Lepisosteus oculatus: one gene and its partners. The protein of the gene in region 2 purifies or fractionates together with the protein of the main gene of each other region. This does not show direct contact. Links are inferred from orthologs where the notes say so. Each region holds a gene or a part of one and is shown on either strand. Other genes may lie near its edges. The genes, in order: atl3, rtn4a and NADH-cytochrome b5 reductase 3-like.

The links.
Region 1: the proteins of rtn4a (region 2) and atl3 purify together in Homo sapiens (affinity purification with mass spectrometry; 4 studies listed by BioGRID and IntAct, counting the BioPlex papers as one, with this or other methods). This does not show direct contact. The link is inferred for Lepisosteus oculatus from reciprocal best matches to the Homo sapiens genes RTN4 and ATL3.
Region 3: the proteins of rtn4a (region 2) and NADH-cytochrome b5 reductase 3-like purify together in Homo sapiens (affinity purification with mass spectrometry; 3 studies listed by BioGRID and IntAct, counting the BioPlex papers as one, with this or other methods). This does not show direct contact. The link is inferred for Lepisosteus oculatus from reciprocal best matches to the Homo sapiens genes RTN4 and CYB5R3.

What each region holds. Positions count from the first base shown.
Region 1 is NC_090713.1:23,341,492-23,349,488, forward strand, and holds the start of atl3 (atlastin-3), read left to right. Parts: upstream 1-4,910; 5' UTR 4,911-5,012; exon of another isoform or gene 5,013-5,206; intron 5,207-6,683; 5' UTR 6,684-6,705; coding exon 6,706-6,915; intron 6,916-7,510; coding exon 7,511-7,648; intron 7,649-7,997. Other genes in the region: serine/arginine repetitive matrix protein 1-like, read left to right, coding at 751-2,900; octapeptide-repeat protein T2-like, read right to left, coding at 2,943-3,626, 4,704-4,715. UniProt on the Homo sapiens protein: Atlastin-3 (ATL3) is a membrane-anchored GTPase that mediates the GTP-dependent fusion of endoplasmic reticulum (ER) membranes, maintaining the continuous ER network. It facilitates the formation of three-way junctions where ER tubules intersect.
Region 2 is NC_090712.1:3,327,054-3,334,675, forward strand, and holds the start of rtn4a (reticulon-4a), read right to left. Parts: upstream 3,087-7,622; 5' UTR 2,734-3,086; coding exon 2,286-2,733; intron 1-2,285. UniProt on the Homo sapiens protein: Required to induce the formation and stabilization of endoplasmic reticulum (ER) tubules. They regulate membrane morphogenesis in the ER by promoting tubular ER production.
Region 3 is NC_090702.1:53,637,261-53,644,232, reverse strand, and holds the start of NADH-cytochrome b5 reductase 3-like, read right to left. Parts: upstream 3,015-6,972; 5' UTR 2,867-3,014; coding exon 2,849-2,866; intron 1,522-2,848; coding exon 1,396-1,521; intron 1-1,395. Other genes in the region: endouc (uridylate-specific endoribonuclease C), read left to right, coding at 3,245-3,255, 4,566-4,665, 5,260-5,371, 6,887-6,972. UniProt on the Homo sapiens protein: Catalyzes the reduction of two molecules of cytochrome b5 using NADH as the electron donor.

The DNA of each region.
Region 1 (7,997 bases), on a different chromosome or scaffold from region 2:
CAGTGTGACCCAGCCTGGACTGTAGGGGTACAGTGTGACCCAGACTGGACCGGCGATCTCTGGACTGGAGGGGTACAGTGTGACCCAGACTGGACTGTAGGGGTACAGTGTGACCCAGACTGGACAGTGATCTCTGGACTGGAGGGGTACAGGGTGACCCAGACTGGACTGTTGGGGTACAGTGTGACCCAGACTGGACAGTGATCTCTGGACTGTAGGGGTACAGTGTGATCCAGACTGGACCAGTGATCTCTGGACTGTAGGGGTACAGTGAGACCCAGACTGGACTGTAGGGGTACAGTGTGACCCAGACTGGACTGTAGGGGTACAGTGTGATCCAGACTGGACAGTGATCTCTGGACTGTAGGGGTACAGTGTGACCCAGACTGGACTGTAGGGGTACAGGGTGACCCAGACTGGACTGGAGGGGTACAGTGTGACCCAGACTGGACAGTGATCTCTGGACTGTTGGGGTACAGTGTGACCCAGACTGGACTGTAGGGGTACAGTGTGACCCAGACTGGACAGTGATCTCTGGACTGTAGGGGTACAGTGAGACCCAGACTGGACTGTAGGGGTACAGTGTGACCCAGACTGGACTGTAGGGGTACAGTGTGACCCAGACTGGACTGCTGGGGTACAGTGTGACCCAGACTGGACAGTGATCTCTGGACTGTAGGGGTACAGTGTGACCCAGACTGGACTGCTGGGGTACAGGGTGACCCTTCTGTCTTCGCTCTGTGTCCCCAGGGTTTGGAATGACCACCCCAGCGACTGTGACAGGCAAAGTCTTCCTCGTCTTCTACGGCCTGCTGGGCTGCGCGGGCACCCTCCTCTTCCTCAACCTGTTCCTGGAGCGCGCTGTCACGCTGCTGGCCGTCGTGCTGCAGGGGGTCCGCGGCGCGAGGCTGCGGCGACGCGGCGTGTACCCCGAGACGGGGGGCTCGCCGCCGGGGGGGTGGAAGCCCTCCGTCTACACGGTGATGGGCATCCTGGGGGCCGCGGCGGGGGCGGTGTCGCTGGGGGCCTCCTGCCTGTACAGCGCGGCCGAGGGCTGGAGCTACGGAGACGCCCTGTACTTCTGCTTCGTCGCCTTCAGCACCATCGGCTTCGGGGACCTGGTGAGCGGGCAGCGCGGGGCGCCCCTGGGGTCACAGCCGCCCCTGTACGGCCTGGGCAACTTCGCCTGCATCCTGCTGGGCGTGTGCTGCACCTACTCGCTCTTCAACGTCATCTCCATCCTCATCAAGGAGCTGCTCACCTGGCTGCTGGAGCGGGCCGGCTGCCCTGCCCGGCGCCGCCCCGCGCCCCCCCGCGCCCGCGCCCGCCGCCCCCCCGGCCTGCCCGCCGCCCCGGCCCCGCCCCCCGGCCGGCGTGCCCGCCCCCGCGCCCCGCCCCCGCCGGCCGCCAGCGAGGTCTCCATGGACACGGAGGCGGTGTTCGACAGCGAGACGGACGCCCGCCGCGTCTCCCTGGAGACGAGCGCCATCCGCGACTTCCTGGCCGCCCCCCCCTCCCCCACGCTGGGGGGCAGGCGCCGCCGGCTGGCCTGGGGGGGCGCCGAGGCGGGTGAGGGCGTGCCTAGAGCGGGGGAGCAGGAGGAGGGCGGGGGGGACCGGGAGCGAGCAGAGACGGACGCTGGCAGCGCCCCCCAGGGGGCAGCGGCGCAGAGAGGGCACAGCCCCAGCAGGGGGGCGTCCTGCTCTCCGCAGGGGGAGCGAGTGGGCAGCCTGCTGGACAGCCTGGGGTCCCTGGCCGTCATGCACAGCAAACTGGCCGAGACCTGCCGGGGCTACGGGCAGGGGAGACCCCACAGCGCCCGGCGGGACTGTCTCCACGGCGACAGCTACTGTGGTCAAGGTCGGCATGGAAACCACTTTCACTCTCACACCAGAGCTCCCAGCCCCAGTCACTCCCATCGTCTCACTCCCTCTCACTCTCCCTCTCACACCAGAGCTCCCAGCCCCAGTCACTCCCATCGTCTCACTCCCTCTCACTCTCCCTCTCACACCAGAGCTCCCAGCCCCAGTCACTCCCATCGTCTCACTCCCTCTCACTCTCCCTCTCACACCAGAGCTCCCAGCCCCAGTCACTCCCATCGTCTCACTCCCTCTCACTCTCCCTCTCACACCAGAGCTCCCAGCCCCAGTCACTCCCATCGTCTCACTCCCTCTCACTCTCCCTCTCACACCAGAGCTCCCAGCCCCAGTCACTCCCATCGTCTCACTCCCTCTCACTCTCCCTCTCACACCAGAGCTCCCAGCCCCAGTCACTCCCATCGTCTCACTCCCTCTCACTCTCCGTCTCACACCAGAGCTCCCAGCCCCAGTCACACCCATCGTCTCACTCCCTCTCACTCTCCCTCTCACACCAGAGCTCCCAGCCCCAGTCACTCCCATCGTCTCACTCCCTCTCACTCTCCCTCTCACACCAGAGCTCCCAGCCCCAGTCACACCCACTGTCTCACTCCCTCTCACTCTCCCTCTCACACCAGAGCTCCCAGCCCCAGTCACTCCCACTGTCTCACTCCCTCTCACTCTCGGGACAGGGGGGTGCAGGCGGGGGCAGGGGGGCCGGTGCAGGGGTCCGGCAGTGACCCCGCCGTTGGCTCCAGTGGGCTGGGGTCGCTGGGGAACCTGGGCAGCCCCCCGCGGACCGGCGCGGCCAGCGCGGCCAGCGGCTCCCAGACGGGGCTGTCCTCCAGCGGGCGGGGGTCCCTGGAGTGTGGGGGCGCCCCACTCGGAGACCCCTGCTCGCCCACCCCCCCTCCGGAGCGCGGGCGGGGCTCCCAGCGCAGCTCTGGCGCGGGACTGGCTGGGGTGCGGAAGGGGGACAGGCCCAGAGAGGAGCCCCTGGGGGCTGTGGGGTCCCTGGCCGTCCTCAAAGACTTTTTCCGCTGAGACCGGCAGGACGATGGACCCCCAGTCCGGACCCGAGAGACCTCAGCTCTCCAGCCTTTCCTGGACTCCAGACATGGGCTTGGTGTGTCGTACCCATGCCTTCGTGCTTCGTGTGATCTCTGTCCCCCCTCCTGCTTTCTCCTGCTTCCTCCTGCTCCTCTCCTGCTCCTCTCCTGCTTCCTTCTGCTCCTTTCCTGCTCCTCTCCTGCTCCTCTCCTGCTCCTCTCCTGCTCCTCTCCTGCTTCCTCCTGCTTCTCTCCTGCTCCTCTCCTGCTCCTCTCCTGCTTCCTCCTGCTTCCTCCTGCTCCTCTCCTGCTCCTCTCCTGCTCCTCTCCTGCTTCCTCCTGCTTCCTCCTGCTCCTCTCCTGCTTCTCTCCTGCTCCTCTCCTGCTCCTCTCCTGCTTCCTCCTGCTTCCTCCTGCTCCTCTCCTGCTTCTCTCCTGCTCCTCTCCTGCTCCTCTCCTGCTCCTCTCCTGCTTCCTTCTGCTCCTCTCCTGCTTCCTCCTGCTCCTCTCCTGCTTCCTCCTGCTTCCTCCTGCTCCTCTCCTGCTTCCTCCTGCTCCTTTCCTGCTCCTCTCCTGCTCCTCTCCTGCTCCTCTCCTGCTTCCTCCTGCTCCTCTCCTGCTTCTCTCCTGCTCCTCTCCTGCTCCTCTCCTGCTTCCTCCCGCTTCCTCCTGCTCCTCTCCTGCTCCTGTCACTAGACAGACCTTGGGGACTGGAAACCTTCTGGGAGCCAGTGCAGGGAATCGAGGACAGGAGTGATGCGACTCTGAGCCCCAGCTCTGCAGGACCTGATGCCCTTGTGTGGAGTGGGGGGTGCTGTGCACCCCATTGATGGACAGCGGAGTGCGCTGTGTGCTTCTTGGGTGCTCCTGCTGGCGTTTCGGGGCTCTGTGTGCCTATGGTCAGTCTCCAGCTCGAAGTCCAGTTTCGGGGCTCTGTGTGCCTTTGATCAGTGTCCAGCTCGAAGTCCAGTTTCGGGGCTCTGCATGCCTGCGATCAGTGTCCAGCTCGAAGTCCAGTTTCGGGGCTCTGCGTGCCTGCGGTCAGTGTCCAGCTCCGAGTGCAGTTTCGGGGCTCTGAGTGCCTGCGGTCAGTCTCCAGCTCCGAGTGCAGTTTCGGGGCTCTGAGTGCCTGCGGTCAGTCTCCAGCTCCGAGTGCAGTTTCGGGGCTCTGAGTGCCTGCGGTCAGTGTCCAGCTCGAAGTCCAGTTTCGGGGCTCTGTGTGCTGCTGTCTGTTGATGCTGATTAAAGTGTGATGAGTCTGATCTAGACAGGCTGAGTGCTGTGTGTTTTTCTTTCTTTCTCCTGCATCACTGATCCCACTTCAATCCCTCTACCCCAGGACTCACAGCCCCAAATACCTGCACCCCATCTGTGACCCCTCTACCCCAGGACTCACAGCCCCAAATACCTGCACCCCATCTGTGACCCCTCTACCCCAGGACTCACAGCCCCAAATACCTGCACCCCATCTGTGACCCCTCTACCCCAGGACTCACAGCCCCAAATACCTGCACCCCATCTGTGACCCCTCTACCCCGGAGGTGACAGCCCCAAATACCTGCATCCCATCTGTGACCCCTCTACCCCGGAGGTGACAGCCCCAAAAACCTGCACCCCATCTGTGACCCCTGTACCTGCACGCTCTGCGACACCCTTCATCATTATTACTGTTACCACTGCAGTCAAAACGCCACATCGGTTCTCAGGAAGATGCGGCTGTTTCTTCTCTTAACGCTCGGGGTGTCTGCAGGGGAAACCACAGTTTTGTTTTTTAACTACACTGGCGTGAAATGGCTACTTTCTGAGTCATCGCTCCTCCGCCCTGAGATGCCTGCTCGTCTGCCAGGCTGGCCTCGCCCTCCCCTCCACGGTCTGCAGCGATTCACTACAACTACCATGATGCCCCTGGCTTCCGGTGCCTCCTGGGAGATGTAGTCTTCTGCAAAAAAGATGTAAGCTAAACCGCACGGGCGTCGCCCTTGTCAGGAAATACGATTCCCAGACGCCCTTGCCCCTCAATCCTGGTTGGTTAGAGCGTTTTTTTCCAGATAACGACGAGAAAAAAAACAGAAAAGTTTTGGCATCGCGTTACAGGCTCGTTGTTCAGGTAAAGAAAAGCGTTGACCACACTTTGAAGTTCCTTTCTCTTGCTTGGTGCTCTCTGCGGGTCCGACTGGCCCCTAAGGCTAAGGCTGCTCTGCTCCGGTCCTGCTGCGTGTGCAAACCGGAGTCCGTCCGCGTCTGCGAGGCGTCTGGCTCGGCTCTCGAGGGGGAGGGAAGGAGCGCTTTCTCCTTTGAAAAGTATGTATTTCTGGACGTGCCTACCTGTGCGTTTTAACTTCCTGCTCTCCGCGGCCGCTGACAGCGTTTCTGCGCGTCCCGGGAAGATGAAAACGCAGGCTTTGGGGTTGCGTGTGCGAGTGCGTGTCTTGGACCGTTTCTTCACTCAGCCGGACCGAGCGCGGTTCGCCGAGTGGGTCTGTGCTGGCGAGAGATTCACCGGAGGGACCCGGATCCTCTGGGGACACGTGGATCGGACACTGGGAGCGGGGGGCTTGTTGGGCCGTGGGAGCCCGGGTCTGGGCTGGGCAGGGCAGGGCAGGGCAGGGCAGCACAGCACACCGGCACGCGTGGGGGTGGGGGTGTCGAGCGCTGTGGAGGCGATCGTCAGATCTCCAGATCTTCAGCTCCCCACAGATCTGGTGTGTGTTCACACTGTGTGACAGATGTGTTGTTCTGCTGTCTGTGGAGAGCGCCTGACTGCCTCTGCTCAAAGAGCTCCTTCATGAAGACCAGGCGCTGGTCTGGCCGCAGAAAATGGATTCTGCACCCCAGTCCAGCGCCTTCAACTCCCATCGGAGTGATCGGACTTTCTTGAAGGGCTTCAGTCTGATCCGCTCCAGGTGTGACAGTGCTGTCAGACTCCCAGTGCGCAGCAGTCTGATCCGCTCCAGGTGTGACAGTGCTGTCAGACTCCCAGTGCGCAGCAGTCTGATCCGCTCCAGGTGTGACAGTGCTGTCAGTCAGACTCCCAGTGTGCAGCAGTCTGATCCGCTCCAGGTGTGACAGTGCTGTCAGACTCCCAGTGCGCAGCAGTCTGATCCGCTCCAGGTGTGACAGTGCTGTCAGTCAGACTCCCAGTGCGCAGCAGTCTGATCCGCTCCAGGTGTGACAGTGCTGTCAGACTCCCAGTGCGCAGCAGTCTGATCCGCTCCAGGTGTGACAGTGCTGTCAGTCAGACTCCCAGTGCGCAGCAGTCTGATCCGCTCCAGGTGTGACAGTGCTGTCAGTCAGACTCCCAGTGTGCAGCAGTCTGATCCGCTCCAGGTGTGACAGTGCTGTCAGTCAGACTCCCAGTGCGCAGCAGTCTGATCCGCTCCAGGTGTGACAGTGCTGTCAGTCAGACTCCCAGTGCGCAGCAGTCTGATCCGCTCCAGGTGTGACAGTGCTGTCAGTCAGACTCCCAGTGCGCAGCAGTCTGATCCGCTCCAGGTGTGACAGTGCTGTCAGACTCCCAGTGCGCAGCAGTATGATCCGCTCCAGGTGTGACAGTGCTGTCAGTCAGACTCCCAGTGCGCAGCAGTCTGATCCGCTCCAGGTGTGACAGTGCTGTCAGTCAGACTCCCAGTGCGCAGCAGTCTGATCCGCTCCAGGTGTGACAGTGCTGTCAGACTCCCAGTGTGCAGCAGTCTGATCCGCTCCAGGTGTGACAGTGCCGTCAGTGCGAATGTGTGAGTGAGTGAGAGAGCTGCGCTGACCCGCTGCCCTCAATCCCCAGGCGCAGTGACACACAGTGAGAAATGGGGGGCGCTAGTGAGCCGCGGCCGGTGCAGATCGTCAGTGTGCACAAGGAGGACCACTCCTTCTCCCTGGACGCCAAGGCCCTGGAGGCGGTGCTGCTGCGGCCGGAGGTCCGGGACCTGGACGTTGCCGTGGTGTCGGTCGCCGGGGCGTTCCGCAAGGGCAAGTCCTTCCTCCTGGACTTCATGCTGCGCTACATGAAGAGGAAGGTGAGGAGCGCAGAGCACACAAGATACACACTGATACACACACACTGACAGTGACACACGCACACTGACAATGACACACTCACACACTCTTACACACTGACACACACACACTGACAATGACACACTCACACACTCTTACACACCGACACACACCGATGCACACGCACTGACACACAGACTAAGACACACACACTGACAGTGACACACTCACACACACCGACTCACGCACACTGACAATGACACACACACTCTTACACACCGACACACACACACTGACAATGACACACTCACACACTCTTACACACCGACACACGCACACTGACACACACTGACACACAGACTAAGACACACACACTGACAATGACACACACACTGATGCACACTCACACACTCTTACACACACACACTAAGACACACAGTGACGCACACTCTTACACACCGACACACACACACTGACACACACCGATGCACACGCACTGACAATGACACACACACTGATGCACACTCTTGCACACACTGATGCACACACAATAATACACACACTCTTACACACACTCTCATGCCCTCAGGGCTGAACCTCTCTCCTGTCCTGCAGGATGAAGCTGGAGACTGGCTGGGCTCCGACACCGAGCCCCTGACCGGGTTCTCCTGGCGGGGCGGCTCTGACCCAGAGACCACGGGGATCCAGATCTGGAGCGAGGTGTTCGTGGTGGAGAAGCCCAACGGCAAGGAGGTGCTGAGCCGTCCAGTCCCGTGTGAACGGGCTGAGGAGGTGCTGGTGGCCAGCAGGAGGCGCAGTGCCTCAGCCGCGCTGTAGGGGGCGCCGGTCTCTCTGTAGCGCAGTGCCTCAGCCGCGCTGTAGGGGGCGCCGGTCTCTCTGTAGCGCAGTGCCTCAGCCGCGCTGTAGGGGGCGCCGGTCTCTCTGTAGCGCAGTGCCTCAGCCGCGCTGTAGGGGGCGCCGGTCTCTCTGTAGCGCAGTGCCTCAGCCGCGCTGTGGGGGCGCCGGTCTCTCTGTAGCGCAGTGCCTCAGCTGTGGGAGGCGCTGTCCCTCAGGTGAGATCTTAACCTGGGGACTGATTCCT
Region 2 (7,622 bases):
TCATCTCTTACCTAGAGGAAGCAACCACCGACTGGATAGTCTTTTACACAGCTGCTGTGGCAATAGTGACTCACAGTCACGCTACATGCACTCAGATAATCTGAGGGTCTGCAGCTGATGATTATATTAGTTTGGTCCTTAGAAACCCAGTAAACACAACAAACTGCTAAATGGCATGACCTCTGAAAAGCCAATCAAGGTGGCAAAGTTATTGAGAATTAACCCTTTTCCCTGAACTGGCTAGGCAACATCACCCACAGGCCTTCAGAACCAACCGTCTCGACATTATTATATAAAGTATAAAACATGAAACGCCATTTTTAACTGAATTTGTCCAAATGGGTTTTCTGTGTCCTGTTGAGCTAGGTACGGCATTTTCATGAAGCTCCTAAATCTGGCCCAAAAAAGCACATAAGAGCAAAGTCTCTCTTCTAAACCCGAAATTTGGGTAGAGGAGGAGAAGCAGTTTAATTGGAAAAAAAACGTGTAACATGCTTACAGAACATATTACATGAATGCCTTGTAAACGAGCCTGCATGAACAGAAGTCCTACATTGGAAGGAGCTGAAGAAAACATGTGCAGCATGTGAAACTGGTGTAGGTACATATGCATCAGCAGCTACAGTACAAAGGGATTATGGAAGATAAACAGATCAAGGCCAAATCCCCTGGGCTTTAAAACAATACCCTGAGAAGCACTGGAGACAGAATACTGTGGCTATCTGCCTGCCTTGGAGAAAGTCTAATTCATATCCCTATGATTGCACTTTTTTTTTTAATACGATTGTTTAGACGCATAGGGCGGTGTGTCAATTGAAAGAACGAGAGGTATTTTATTGTAAATAATTAAACAAATAAGGAGTAGCCGAGCATGTGCTTATCTGTGGGATCGTATATTACGGCCCCTGTCGGCCGCAGAGCATGACATCACCCACTAAAACAAAGCCGGCGCCGGAGGTACCCCTCCCCGGCGCGGGGTACAGCGCGGATATCAAGAAGCCACAGGTTTCGCCTGGATGATATGATGAGGTCTTTCTTTCCCTTAAAGAACATGTGCGGGATTCTCATTTCTGTCTGGCCGCTCGTCCGCTGTTTCCGTATGGAGACTACTTTCCTGTCGGAGATCATTTTGTTGCAGACACACCGCACCCGCCTCTCCAAGGCCGTGGGCGCAGACTGGCGCTGCAGTCTGCTCGGCGTCGGAGCAAGCCCAGCCCGGCCCACCACCAGGGCCTCCTGACCTGTGCGCCTGCTGTCGCCTCCCCCCCAGATACTGCGCTACACCTCTCTCACCCCCCCCAGAAAAGCCAGCAGCTTAATCACTTCACACACAGATCAGCGGGGGGGTCGGGTCCCAAACAGCGTCCCCAGGGCTACAGCTGGCCAAATCTGCGCCCCCTCCCCCCCGGGGGGGCTGTCTGCTCGGGCCATCTCACTCCCAGCACCTGTCGGACCCACGCCCATCGGTCGATCCACCCCGGAACACCGGACCCGAACCGGATCGGGATGTCGGGTCCGAGTGCAGCCAGCCAGCCGCCTCGCCGAGACAAGAGCCTGGCCGGCATTATAGCGCATCAGTCAGGAGGGAGGGGGAGTCCCGTCGTCAGCAAAAGAATTACAAAAAAACATCTTTTGACGGCCGCGACGGTCTGTGCAAGCTCTCCCCGGTATGGGACTACGCCATAGCAACTAAAACACACACAGACAAGACACAGACAGGTCCTTATCCCGACCCCCTGATTACATCTCGACCACCCAGGAGCTGGAGAAAAATGGCTGCTGACTCAGGGACAATTCACCCCCCCAAAACAACCCCAAAACGAACTACCACCCCCCCCAGACACACACAGGACGCGATCCTAAAATACTGTGCAAAAGGGGCAAACAACTATCTCATCTCTCTCAGCCGCGCACTGCGTTTCCGTTTGAGAAGGAGCCGTTAGCGGCTGCGGGTCCCCCGGATCCCCCGCGTCTCGCCGGGGCGACACAGGTGGGCAGCACCGGCGTGAGAGTCATCGGACCGCGCTTCTCCGGGCCACCCCCCGCCTCGGGAACGCGGCATTGAAGTTGTGCTTTATTTGTGCAATAATACAGGAACACAAACACACACGCGACAAAGGCTCCCGGCTCCTCGGGCGCAGCCACGGCCATTGTCTAGCGCCCCAACTTCCGCGAGACAGAAGTGCGGCCCCCCCAGGGGCCGTGGGCCGGGTGAAGTACCCACCCGCTTCAGACACGCCTAAATTAAACTGTCTTTTTCCTCCGAAAGGGGCACCGGTGCTCACCTGGGGAGGAGGCCGCCGAGGAGGAGGAGGAGGAGGCGGGAGAGGGGTCGCTGGCCGGGCTCCGCGGGGCGGCTCTGGGCGGCTCCGGTTTCGGGGGGCTATCGGCCGCCTGCTTCACCGAGGGCGCCCCGAAGCCGCCCATCCCCGTCAGCAGATCGCCGGGCTCGGCCGCGGGGGCAAACTCCGAGTAGAGGTCCCTGTCCGGGTCCCCGGTCCCCGGCGGGGTGGCGGAGCGGTGCCGGAGGAGAGCATCCCGGGCGCCGCCGGCCAGGTCGAGGATATCGTCGTCGGCCAGCGGCCTGGGCGAGCCGCCGCCGCTCTCCTGCAACAGATAGCCGGCGGCTTCGTCGTACAACTTGCTCTCGTCCATCTTGTCGGGGTCCCCCTGAAGTTTGCGGAGTTCATCGACGCCGGGCGTCGTGGACGAGATGTGCTGCGCGTCTTCCATTTCCTCTTTCGTGTCCGGAGTCGCCCCCTGTGTAGCCCTTCTTTATAAGGTGTGTACCCAAGATTTTCCCCCCCACACACACACCTTTCTAGTGAAAGTGCTCCTTTTTTTTCTCTCTCTCTCTCTCCCCCCCCGAGTAGCTGCGCTGGGCTGGCTAGTCGCTGCCTTCCGGCGGAGATGAACTGAACAAGTGCGCCACGGCCACGAGAGCGTAGGACAGAACAGGGAGCCTCTCGCACGCGCAACGCGCCACACTGCGGTGCCCGGAGGAGCCCTTCAGCGGACCTCGGCCAATCAGCGCGCCGATCTCGGTTGACTGACGTCCGCCCCGACCAACCCGGCTCTTCCTCCCTCCCCCCTCCCAACTATTTTTCTACCGCCCCGCCACGAAGGTGAGGGCCGAACAAAGGACCACGCCCATCCCCCGGCTCCCACCAATCTGCAGCGGTTTCAATCTCCGGTGTCGTTGGGAGTTTTGCTTAGTAACGCGGCTGTAACCACGGAAGACGAGGATACGTGAAAAGTGTGACAAAGCAGATCGAAAGTTATCTGCAACATTTCTTGTAGCGAAAAGCGTGCATTTTTTTCCCCAAGATGTTATAAAACGCCGGTACCACCACTGGCAGGTTTCACGGGCCTAACCTTCGCTGTTAAAGTAAATAATTAACGATATACAGTCCTGCGTGTAGGCTGTGATCGATAAAGGCTCTGGCGATATTGTCAGTGCGCCATAAAAAGGAGATGTTCCAGTTATTGTAGCTGATAAAGCAGCAGTGAGAGACAGACCGTGTAGTAAAGACGTATTCAAACCTTGGAAGAGAAGATAAATGAATTCCAGTCGTATTATAACATTCCAGTCGTTATAACAAGCTATAACGTATTATAGCTTTTTTTTTACCGTCATCCCAAAAGAGGTATTTCTGTATAGTATTGGTCACCTTGACTGCACTCGGTGACCTCATAGACTTCCCCTCTGTTACATCAGCTCATCTAATTACTGGATGACTCCGAAAAAAAGAGCCAGAATTATGAGAGCTGACACACAGCTGTGTCCCTTCAAGTTTACAAAAGGGAGCTCGTTAAATATTTAGGTGATTAAGAAAATCTGTATGTTCCTGTGGGTCAGTTCCTGGCCTTTTGGTGTGGGCAATGCCCACTGTTTTTCAATTCGGAGAGCTGAGAAAGAATCCACGTGAGTCCTCGCTGATTGTGACACACTGCAGATGTCTGCAGTTACAGTTGTAAGAGCTGCCTTGCTCTTCAGCTATTTACAATACAAACTTGGCCTGGGTCTCCATTATACTGAGACGTAAACAGCAGCAGTGAAGCCTGACACATTGGCAAATGAATGAGCCATTAACAATAGCTTTCATTTTTAATTCATCTCTCTTTGCCTCTCTGCGTTTGGGTTAATTTTACTGACAGCTGCCGATACAACCCCCTTTTTTTTGTTTTCAGCCATTCATTTTCTCTGCTGTGCCTGCAGACATGTGCTCTTTCAGTGCGCGTTCCTCTTTGTAAAGTGGCTCGAGGCCAGTCTTTTCTCTGCTGTACGATGGGCCCTGCGAGTCTGTGCTGTTTGGATAGGAAGACGCCAGCACTGAAACTCACCAACACCTGAGCTTGAACACAAACAGACACAATGGGGTTGTGGGAGCCCGGAACAAGCTAGCCAGCCCTGTTGTTGAAGCTGATACCCCAGAGGTCTTAAAGAGACAACTGGACGAGATCCAGGGTGTTTCTTGAAAAGAGTAGGGGTGTTACCCCAGTGTCCTGGCCAAAGTTCCCCCTGACCTTTACCAGTCATGATCTCCTAACCCCCATCTCTGAACTGGCTTCATCACTCTGCTCTCCTCCCCACTGAGAGCTGGTGTGTGGGGAGTGTACTGGTGCACTATGGCTGCACACTGGTGGTGGTGGAGGGGATCCCCATTACCTGTAAAGCACTTTGAGTGTAGAGTCCAGAAAAGCGCTATATAAGTTTAAGGAGTTTATTATTACAAACAATCTAGATGGGCTGAAAGGCCTCCTCTCATTAGTAACAAGTAACGGGCGGAGCGAAGGCTAAGGATCTGTGCCTGTGACTGGAAGGTTGCCGGTTCAAATCCTGCAGCCGGCAGAGGAATCCTACTCTGTTGTCCCCTGAGCAAGGCCCTTAACCCCAACTGCTCCAGGGACGCTGTACAATGGCAGACCCTGTGCTCTGATCCCAAGCTTCTCTCCCTGTATATGTGTCTGTGTCTCATGGAGAGCAAGCTGGGGTATGTGAAAAGCCGAATTCCTAATGCAAGAAATTGTATAGGGCTAATAAAGCAACATTAACATTATTACATTAACTCTTCCCATGTTTTGATGATGCACGGGGCAGACATCCACCTCTACAGTTTGTGCAGATATACTGTATTGTTTATCGTAATGTGACATACAAAGACTCGTGCCCTGTGGTTACCTCTGTCACCTCTGTGCTGGTCCAATACTGGGACTACGAGGCATTTCGAAAGCCAAGTCCCTTTCCCCCGCAACAGGCTGTTTCTCGTATTGTAACAGAAATAGCTGCGGTCTAAACTGAGGCACCAGGGCTATTTTTAGGGCTCAGATCTTTCGACTCTATAAGAGATAGAGCCCCTGCTGACAGTACGTACTGCAACGTTGAGAGATGCACTGAACTACCCCTCCATCTTGGGGGCTTTGTTTTGCGTGATTCTCTGTTCCGTCCTCTGCAGTCTCTCCCCAGAAGAGTGTGAAAGTTGCCCTATCTGTGTACATATGACCACAACTTCCCATTATCCCACCCTAGACTGTTGCACCACATACAGTGCATGCTGGCTGAGTTACACACACATCTGTCCTGTGTATCTCTGCCGCACATGTGCTTAACAGATATCCGGTTCCCCAATCCAGTAATTCAAACTGATTGCTTTCTGCCAGCAGTTTAAAACCAATCAACACCTTTATCCAGCAGCCCCAGTTTGTGTTTAATCATTCCTTTTATCTCCTTACTCTGTGCCACACACAGCTCCATGGCCTTTCCACAATAGACAGTGACCACTGTCGCTGGGTTCCAGTTTGCTTGTTCTGGATATGAGCAGTGGGCCCAGTTGCTGATCTAACCAGTTTCCAAGAAGGACTTTGGCCGAAGAACAAAATCTCCAAGTAAAGATACAGTGGAAGTAAAAATAAATTAGAGAGACATACACGTCTTAAAACAACATGTGGCAATAAGGCTTAAGCTTACAAGTACGTTGTTTTTACAGTAGTTCAGGTGGGGAGCTGCGTCAGCATGCGTAGGCTGCAAGGGAACAAGTAATAGGTTTATTCCCTGCTGAAAAGAGAAGAAAAAAAACACAATGTTTTGGATGTGAAGCCTTCTTCAGGTGTGAGTTGTTTTAACTACTTACTACAATACTGCCTCATCAAAGCTCATGCCAGCTTCACCTTACAGCATTTACAGCATTAAAACTCTTAACTCTTAATGTCTTGTTTTACATGTCTCGTGTGCAAAAATCTCTCCCTCCGACACCTTTATTTCCAAAAGCAGCAGTGAACCAATCACAGAAGCATTCCAGCCCCGTAACACAGATATGAAAGGCTAAGAGCTCTGTAGATATCTGTGGTGTTGTGGTGTTGAGTCACAGGACTCCTGTCACGGACGTCCAAAGGGGCTACCCGAGGGCAGCAGGAGAGCGGAAAAAGATCCATTTGCGTAGCGGCGAGACGGGAAAAAGGCCCGTGCTCGTAGTGCAAAGAGTTCAGGAATGCCGTATAGAAACCTATGCCCTCAGGTAGCGGACGTGGGGCGACCTGGTGCTAGGCGGGTCTCAGGACATCCGAACATCAATGCTGAGCCCCGGCAGAGTGCAAGACCCGGAAAAATATAGCCCAAGGGAAAGAGAGGGACCGGAAGGACAGCAGACCAGAAACTAGGGACAGGACAGAGAAGGAGCGCCCTCTGGCTACAGAGGGCGTGACAACTCCAACATCAAACACTTCTGGAGTGAGTGGAGGACAAGATCATTTATGTAGCTGATTCTTTTCAGTTTTGTCCTTTTAATAATATTTATTTCTGCATGTATATGATTCCAAATGTTACTACAGTTATTTGCTAAAGCTCAAAGACACGCCCATCCTATCCCTTAACTCTGAAAACAAATAAGACATTTTTGAACCATACTGACCAGGACTGGAATGGGGTTCATCCTTCCAGGGGTCCTTGGCTGAACAATTGAACTGCTTCAGCTTTTCATTGGTTATCAGAGTCAATAACATGGCAGATATCTTGAAAGGCAATGGGAGTGTTATGGTCAGGAGTTCATGGTACTGATGCACCTAGCAAAGAGCGGCTCACCACCACCTCACCCAGATCTATCAGTCATCCATCTATCGATCATCTCCCATGTCAATAATCACCATGTACCGTAGCCCTTTCATTAATTGCATTTCATGAATCGCTTTTCATCTCCAAGGATCCTTATACACGTTGCATATCAGAGCACACCCACTTCATCCACCACTGAGCGCCCACCAGGACGACTCTCCATTCTTAACTAAGCTGTCTTATTCTACCGGCTCAGTCCATTTTTTCATATTAGAGTCTATTCCACACCCTTATCAATGTCGTTTTACACAAGCGCAGGGAGACTAGGCTGGGAATTATTTTTTGTTATGTTAAAGTCCCTTCAGGGACATTGGCAGTTCAGCTTGGCTTGGTTTTTGGGCGTAACCTATCCAGAGTGTTTACAGTGCTTAGAGTCACTGTGCTGTGTTTTGACGCGTAACGAGGCCCAGAGCTTAGGAACTTGCTCGGCCATGTGGATGACGCCTGGTTGGGCATTTCAGTGGGTGAGAGCGGGTGCAACTTTTGCTCTGCGTGCTGAGAGCGTCTGTCAGGT
Region 3 (6,972 bases), on a different chromosome or scaffold from region 2:
GAACAATTACTAAATTAGAGAGACTTTTCTATCTCATTTTTCACACCCTGAGTGGCTAAACCGGTGGAGTTTTAGTTCTGCAGAAGCAATTGACAGATGTTGAGCAGCTCTGCTTGTACTACCCTTCCCCGTTCCGACAACAACAACCCGACACATTTCCAGGGAATAAAGTTGGGGCAGCAGGCTCCAGCCCTCGTGTGCAGGTTTCAGAGGCAACACTGCAGTACCACTTGATTAAGACACAAAGAAAACGGGCAGTTCGACTTCCTCTCCACTTAGTTCCAAAAGTCTAAGATGGAATGAAAACCAGAAAAAAAGTGGCCCTCCAGGTGTGGAGATAGTGACCCCCCAGAATAAACGAGCATGGCTGGGGAAACGCTAGCCAGTTTGAAGGCCCTTGCTGTGTCTGACGATAAATCAGCTACAATGGCCTGCAGAACGCCTAACATGTGAATACCCAGCAGTCCTTTAACAAAGGACAACATAAAAGCATATCTCCTTACTTCTGGGATATGTGGTGGACAGAGACAGCTCCACGCATTCATGACTTTACACCGCACAGAAGCGTGACATATCTGAATTCAATGTTTCTGAAAAAGAATAGATGTCCTGGCTGAGGACCTGACTCTCTGTGGTCATTAAAAATCTAGGACTAGGGGTGTTACCCCAGTGTCCTGACCAAATTCCCTCCTGGCCTCCACCAGTCATGGCCTCCTAATAATCCCCATCTCTGAACTGGCTTCATCACTCTGCTCTCCTCCCCACTGAGAGCTGGTGTGTGGGGAGTGTACTGGTGCACTATGGCTGCTGTCACATCATCCAGGTGGGGCTGCACACTGGTGGTGGTGGAGGGGATCCCCATGACCTGTAAAGCGCTTTGAGTGGAGTGTCCAGAAAAGTGCTATATACCGTTGGTGTTAGAAATTAGTAGTAGTAGTACAATACATATTCTTAATCAAGTAATTGCAATTGCAAAAGCTATGCTGCATGTCACAGGATCATTTATTGTATTCAGCAAAGCTGTGTTTTTTTGTGGTAAAACATACTGTATATGAAAAACTTCAGAGTTTGTCTTATGCATCAAAAACTACATACTTTAGAAAATGTATTGACTAACTTAAAAGGGGTATAACGCAACACCTCTTGTTAAAAAGCATCACGTAATGCATGCTCTTATGAGCAATGTATATGCTGCAGTCAATTCATATTTCTTAACTTCTCAGATTCTCAGGCTGTTATCAATTTCACTCACCTAGACACTTGAGAGAAAAGAAAAGTTAAGTTGTTTTCCTGGAAATGTGTCCACAGGGTAGTTAGGAAAGCACTGAACTGCTAGATGAACACCTGTTACTGACTGAGACGGAGATTAAAAGCAATAAATGAATGTTATCTCACCTCTTTGTCTATGAGTCTTAGAGGGTACTTGATATTGGGATCCTCAAGAGTTATCGCAGCTTTTTTCTTTCCGAAGAGAAGGTGGCAGATGAGATTGCGAATGTAATTATAACTGTCTCGGATGATCTGAAAAAGACAAGTGAAAAAAAAAACATAATGCACATTTGGATTCTGAGTTACACTGTCATAAGTTAGACTCCTACTATTCTGGAAATCCAAAATAAAATGTACCTGCGGTAGAAGTACAAGATAACATTTTACCATTTTACAACAAAGTTAAGAGCTTGTCTTTTTTCATGAAAAAAGACATCTATCCACATGTAGTTGTCAATGCTTAACGTTTAACCCTGCCTGTAAAATATCCATACTGTAGTTTAAAAACCTCAGTGACAACTTTAGAAGGGCTTTGTCATGGGGAGCAGAATATTTCCCCGTCATCTTGGTATATAAAGAGTTAACATTTCATGCCTGAAAGGCTATCAGCACAGGAAGTTCATCAGCTTGGGCAGAGGTCCTTGAAAGAAAAAAAAAACAACAGCGAAAAAAGTTACAAGTGTTTGTTCCCAATGGTAGCTATTCTTGGAGAAACATTCTCCTAAAAGTTCGCTCAGTTACTGTTTCACGCCTCCACCCACTTAAAAAAATCAGGTGCAACGTCGATTTCATTCCCCACATCACTTCCTATTATCGAGAAGGTTGACGTTTTTGCTTTATAAATTAGTGTCTAGCCTTTAATGCTTATAACACCAAAATTCAAACAGGAAAAACACACACACACACAAAGGTGCCCTCTCGTACCACGTCATAAAATGTAAAGTGAAACAAAAGCAAAAAGATACCATCCGCGCTGACGTTAGTATCTGCTCTACATTGTATAAAACTTCATACTATTATAATGAAATTAATTCTGCAGAACGAATACAACACTACTTCGAAAAATGACGGACCACGCATACAAAAACTATAACAGCTCCTGCACATTCAGTGAGGCCATATTACCAGCGATAACCTTCTAGCAGGAAAACACGGGCGCCTTTGCTTAATTGCATTAGCAATTAGTATTTGCATTATAATGGTGTATAATATAGTCTACAAGAAATGTGTTTTACAGACATATGACCCTAATTACAGTAGATGTTGACCAATGCAAGCGCAAAGCGAGACCTTACCTGGACAAATCTACCGCGACCGTCCCTTCATTACAAGTGCAGGACTTAAACGTTTAACAACATAACAAGACGTCACTGATTCCCTTATAAATTAATAAAATAACTAAAAAGCTCTTCTTTATTTTTTTCTTCCCATTAGTGCTGCGCTAACAACACTATAACTCCGAGCATACGTCGTGCCAACACCAGTGCAATGAGTCAGCCAGCTCCTCGGTAACACCATATCTACAATATTTCTCAAAGCAGGTGATTTGACGAAAAAGTCAACAAGTGCCAACACTCACTCGCAGAATAAAAGACATCTCGGCTTCCTCCAGATGCCACAGGTACGCAGATCCTGGACTTATAGCAAAATACTCTTTGCAACTTCTGCAGACAAGCCCCACCCCAGCTCACGATTCTTTTTTCATTTGCCTGCTCCTCCCAGGCGTCCACAACAGAGAAAATATCAACGTCACCATGAGCTGCTGCCAAACCCTCCGGGCCCAGAGAGCCAATCGCTCCGGACCAAGACGATCGCGGAGGCACGGTAGGAGGGACGCTCTCGCTATTGGACCATGCATGTATGCCAAGGAGCCTTCATTGAGCTGCCATTAAAACTGCCTTCGCTCTGAGTCACGGCTAGGAGCAATAAGGTTTACATCTGTCATCTTTAATTGAGGCAGTCTGACAGCGGCGCAATGGCCAAAGGGTAAGAACACACAACAGGCACCTTATCTGCGCCGATAAGATGGTTGGATTTTTCTTTTCTTGTGTTGTTATTATTGTTCTCCCAGATCGCTTTGAAGTTGGCAAAGCGGCTGCGTGTCAGTATCCTGAAGTTGCTGCACAGATTACTGTATTACTGTATTACTGTAGAAAGGTGTCGCGGTGACGCAACTCGGCTAGCTAGCGGGCACCCGGTGCCTTCACCTGAGGGCGTTTTTGGGGTACCTTCGAGGAATAAAGGACTGCAACCAAAATACATCAAAAGGTGCTCGTCTGTGTGATTATACGTAGTGCTCATTTTAATTTTCCTCGACCTCCACGAATAAAGCCGACCTGGTGAAGCGAAGAGGAAGAACAAGCGCATTTGGGTTATTATAATGGTTACAAGTAGTACTTTGTAGCAGGTATCCACAAAAGGCAGTGTTTAAGTTATGCTTAGATATGCCAACACTATTGCATTACACACCGTATTGTTCACTAGTGTCTTCAGTTACGTGAAACTGTTTTCTGCTTTAAACAATTACAACTCCTATGAACGGCAAGTGTAACTTTTTTTTTCCCCTGTGGAGCAAAGGAAGACGCATTCAAATTTCCCTTAAAGGTTGAAAAGCAAGTAGGTGTAGCGAGATGAAATTTATAGCGTAATTTAACGCTATTCAAATCTCACTGTCAAGTGATCTCGCTCGAAAGTAAACGAGTGACCCACCCTCTCTGGCCCCGAGTTACTTTGCTTCTGTTCAAAACCACCAATTATGTAATGCACTTCTTTTTCCTGAACTAATTTTGTCGCGACTTTAGAAATGGGAGATCTCTTTGGTTTGTCTTTTGCCGAGCATTTAAACAATTAATTAATGGCTTTTTACATTTAAAAAAACCTTAAAATTAACAAATGAACTGTGCTAAGTACTAAAACCTCTGTATCAGGCAATTAATTATTGAAAGCCTGTGGGCGGCTCTCTAGATGTTTAAAGTTTCGTTTTTGGTAAAATGGTTTCATCACCTGGGTCCCACTATCAGCCAACGCCCGAACTGTTAACGTCCTCAGCTTCCTTGAAATCTTAATGTTCTAATTTCACTTCCTATATTTATAGTCGATTTGCTTTGAATATGAAAGTTTTAAGAAATGAAACCAATTCCCCAGTTTTTGTGCTTTCTGTTGGACAGCCTCCCACTGAAATGGAAAAACAAACTGCTCTCTTAAGCTATGTGACTGTGTCCTAGTAAATTTGACCATTATCTTTATTTTAAGATAATCAGCAAAAGCATTGTACTGTGCTCCTCTCATTCCCCCAGGCAAGGGATCAACCAAGAACTGTCCAGCCTCCTGAACGAGCTGTGGGCTTTGGATGAGAACCGCCTGAAGCCCGGGAAAGACTACACCATCTCCCTGCAGGTGTGGCTCACTGCCCGAAACCTTTCCTGTCCGGCAGACGGCGGACTGAGCCGCTTTGCGCTTGCCTAGAATAATCCATGACTAATCTTGATTTAAATACCAAAATACGAGAACTGGTTTAGTTGGTCAGGCCGATGTGCAGTCCTTATCCCCTGTGGTTGCGGAGCCAGCGTCATAACACTTGGAGTTAGTGGAGCACTTACAGCGATATTGAGGGACGAGTAAAGTTGGAATTCGTTGTTGACAATTCCAAGGAGCAGGCGATGGATAAAAATCCAGTGACTACCTCCTAAACAAATTATAATTTACCCCAGTGAAATGCTGCAGAGTTGTTTTGCAGGGATATCTACTGTACCACTCTTTTGAAAGTGTTCATACAGTACTTGCTTGTTTCAGTAGTGTGTGCATATGGTGCTGTAGATGTCTTAGTGGCTGAGCTTTCTACTCGTGTTTGTTTGGCACTGGACAGTAGGAAAAGTGTAGCGTCTCTTTACGCAAGCTTTGTGTAAAACTTGGTGGATGGGGGTGGGAGTCGTGGCAGGCAGTGGGCTGACTGTTTCTTGTCACTTGAGATCCCTTCTGTGTGTCTTTCAGGGGAAGGCAGGCTATGTTGCTCCAGGCAGTAACTCCGCCAGAGACAGGGCCAGTGCGCCACTCTTCTCTCACGTGAACGAGGAGCGGCTGAGGACCATCAAGACGTACGCGTGTGAGTCATATTTGTGCTCCTGTGTTTAAACCCGTGTTTGGCGTGTGTTTAAACCTGAGAAAAGTAAAAACAACAGTGGTATACTACAGTTTCCTCTACGCTGGAAAGTTCATCGTGTTGCACCGTTCTGGGAAAGATACATCTTGTTTGCTATGAGAAAAAGACTGGGCATCCTGTTTACAAAACCGAGATATTGACGGTGTAAAACATGGTATTACTTTCAATTGTTCAAATGTTTTAATGTCTTTGTGTCTATAGACTGTAGCTGTGCATGTCTGCTGTGTACATTGGGATAGTAAACTCTCAGATTCATTATTGTTGCTTTAGGATTTGTATCTGACATGTATCACATTGGGTTTTTTTTTAGGAAAGTGATTTTCATATTTAAAATAATGTATCTAACACTGTTCTGAAATGTTTGTTTAGTTCACCTGATTAACTGATGATTATTTCTCCAATGAGTTTGAAAGAAAATGCAATTTTTTAGGTGGTTGGGGGGGGGGGGAGATTTTTCACTGACGTTTTGGAAAATAAAAACTCCCTCTTTTCTCAAAGTTAAAATATTTTTATGGTTGGAGGGATTCCTAATGAGCATGTGTCTCATAGCCATTGTTTGGCATGCTAATCTTTGTTGCATAACAACCACTAACTGTAGCCTTCATTTTCATTTTTACTTGTATTGAAATGCATCTGTTGATAAGCATTTTGAAGCAATTGTTGTCTTACCCTGTGATATTCTGCTGTTGACAGGTCAGGCTGGTGCAGGATTGTAACTCTGGCAATTAATGTGGACATTGAGCAGCAGGGGCTTGTGAGAATGGCTGAAACTCATTAAGGGGGATTTCTGTTCCTTCTCCCCTTCAAAGTACCTCCAACTGTACAGATTGAAACAGTGCAGGAAGTGTTAAATCGTGTTAATTGAAAGGTTACATCCTTTGTCTGTTTCCTTGGCTGTGAATCCCCGTGTTTCAGCACCAGTGTTATCTGAGACAGCCCTGAATCTCACACCCCGATAGCAATCTGGGAATGTAACCTTGCATTTAGCTGCACAATTAAACAGTGAGCAAAGACATTAACCTGTGAAAGTGAACTGTCTCATAATTTCACAGGTTAATGTCTGTGTTCACTGTTGATCTGTAGTATTTTATTCAGTGTGCTACAGCGGAGTCAATTAATTAATTATGCTAATTAGCCAATAGTTTTTATCTAAAGTGATTTACATTTGGACCCCTTTACATAGCAGAGTATTTTTTACTGGAACAATCCAAGTGAAATACGTGAGTCAACAATGCAGCTACAGATCAGATTTATATTTAAAGGGGAGAATGGTAGAAACACCTTTAAAATTGCTTCAGCCTCTCCTCACAAGTTGCCACTGAATCATACTTTGTTACTGGACAATTCAGGCTTCTGGAGGTCTGGGACATCAATCGTAACACTCCTCTGGTGTAGAAGGAGGATGAGAGGTTAAGGACTGGGTACATGTCTCCACCTCATTATTGGTTCTGACTCTAGATTTCATGAAGCTGCTGGATAACTATGAGATGTCAACTGGAGTTTCCGAAACTGTCACCACTGAAGAGGTGGAAGAAAACAACCTC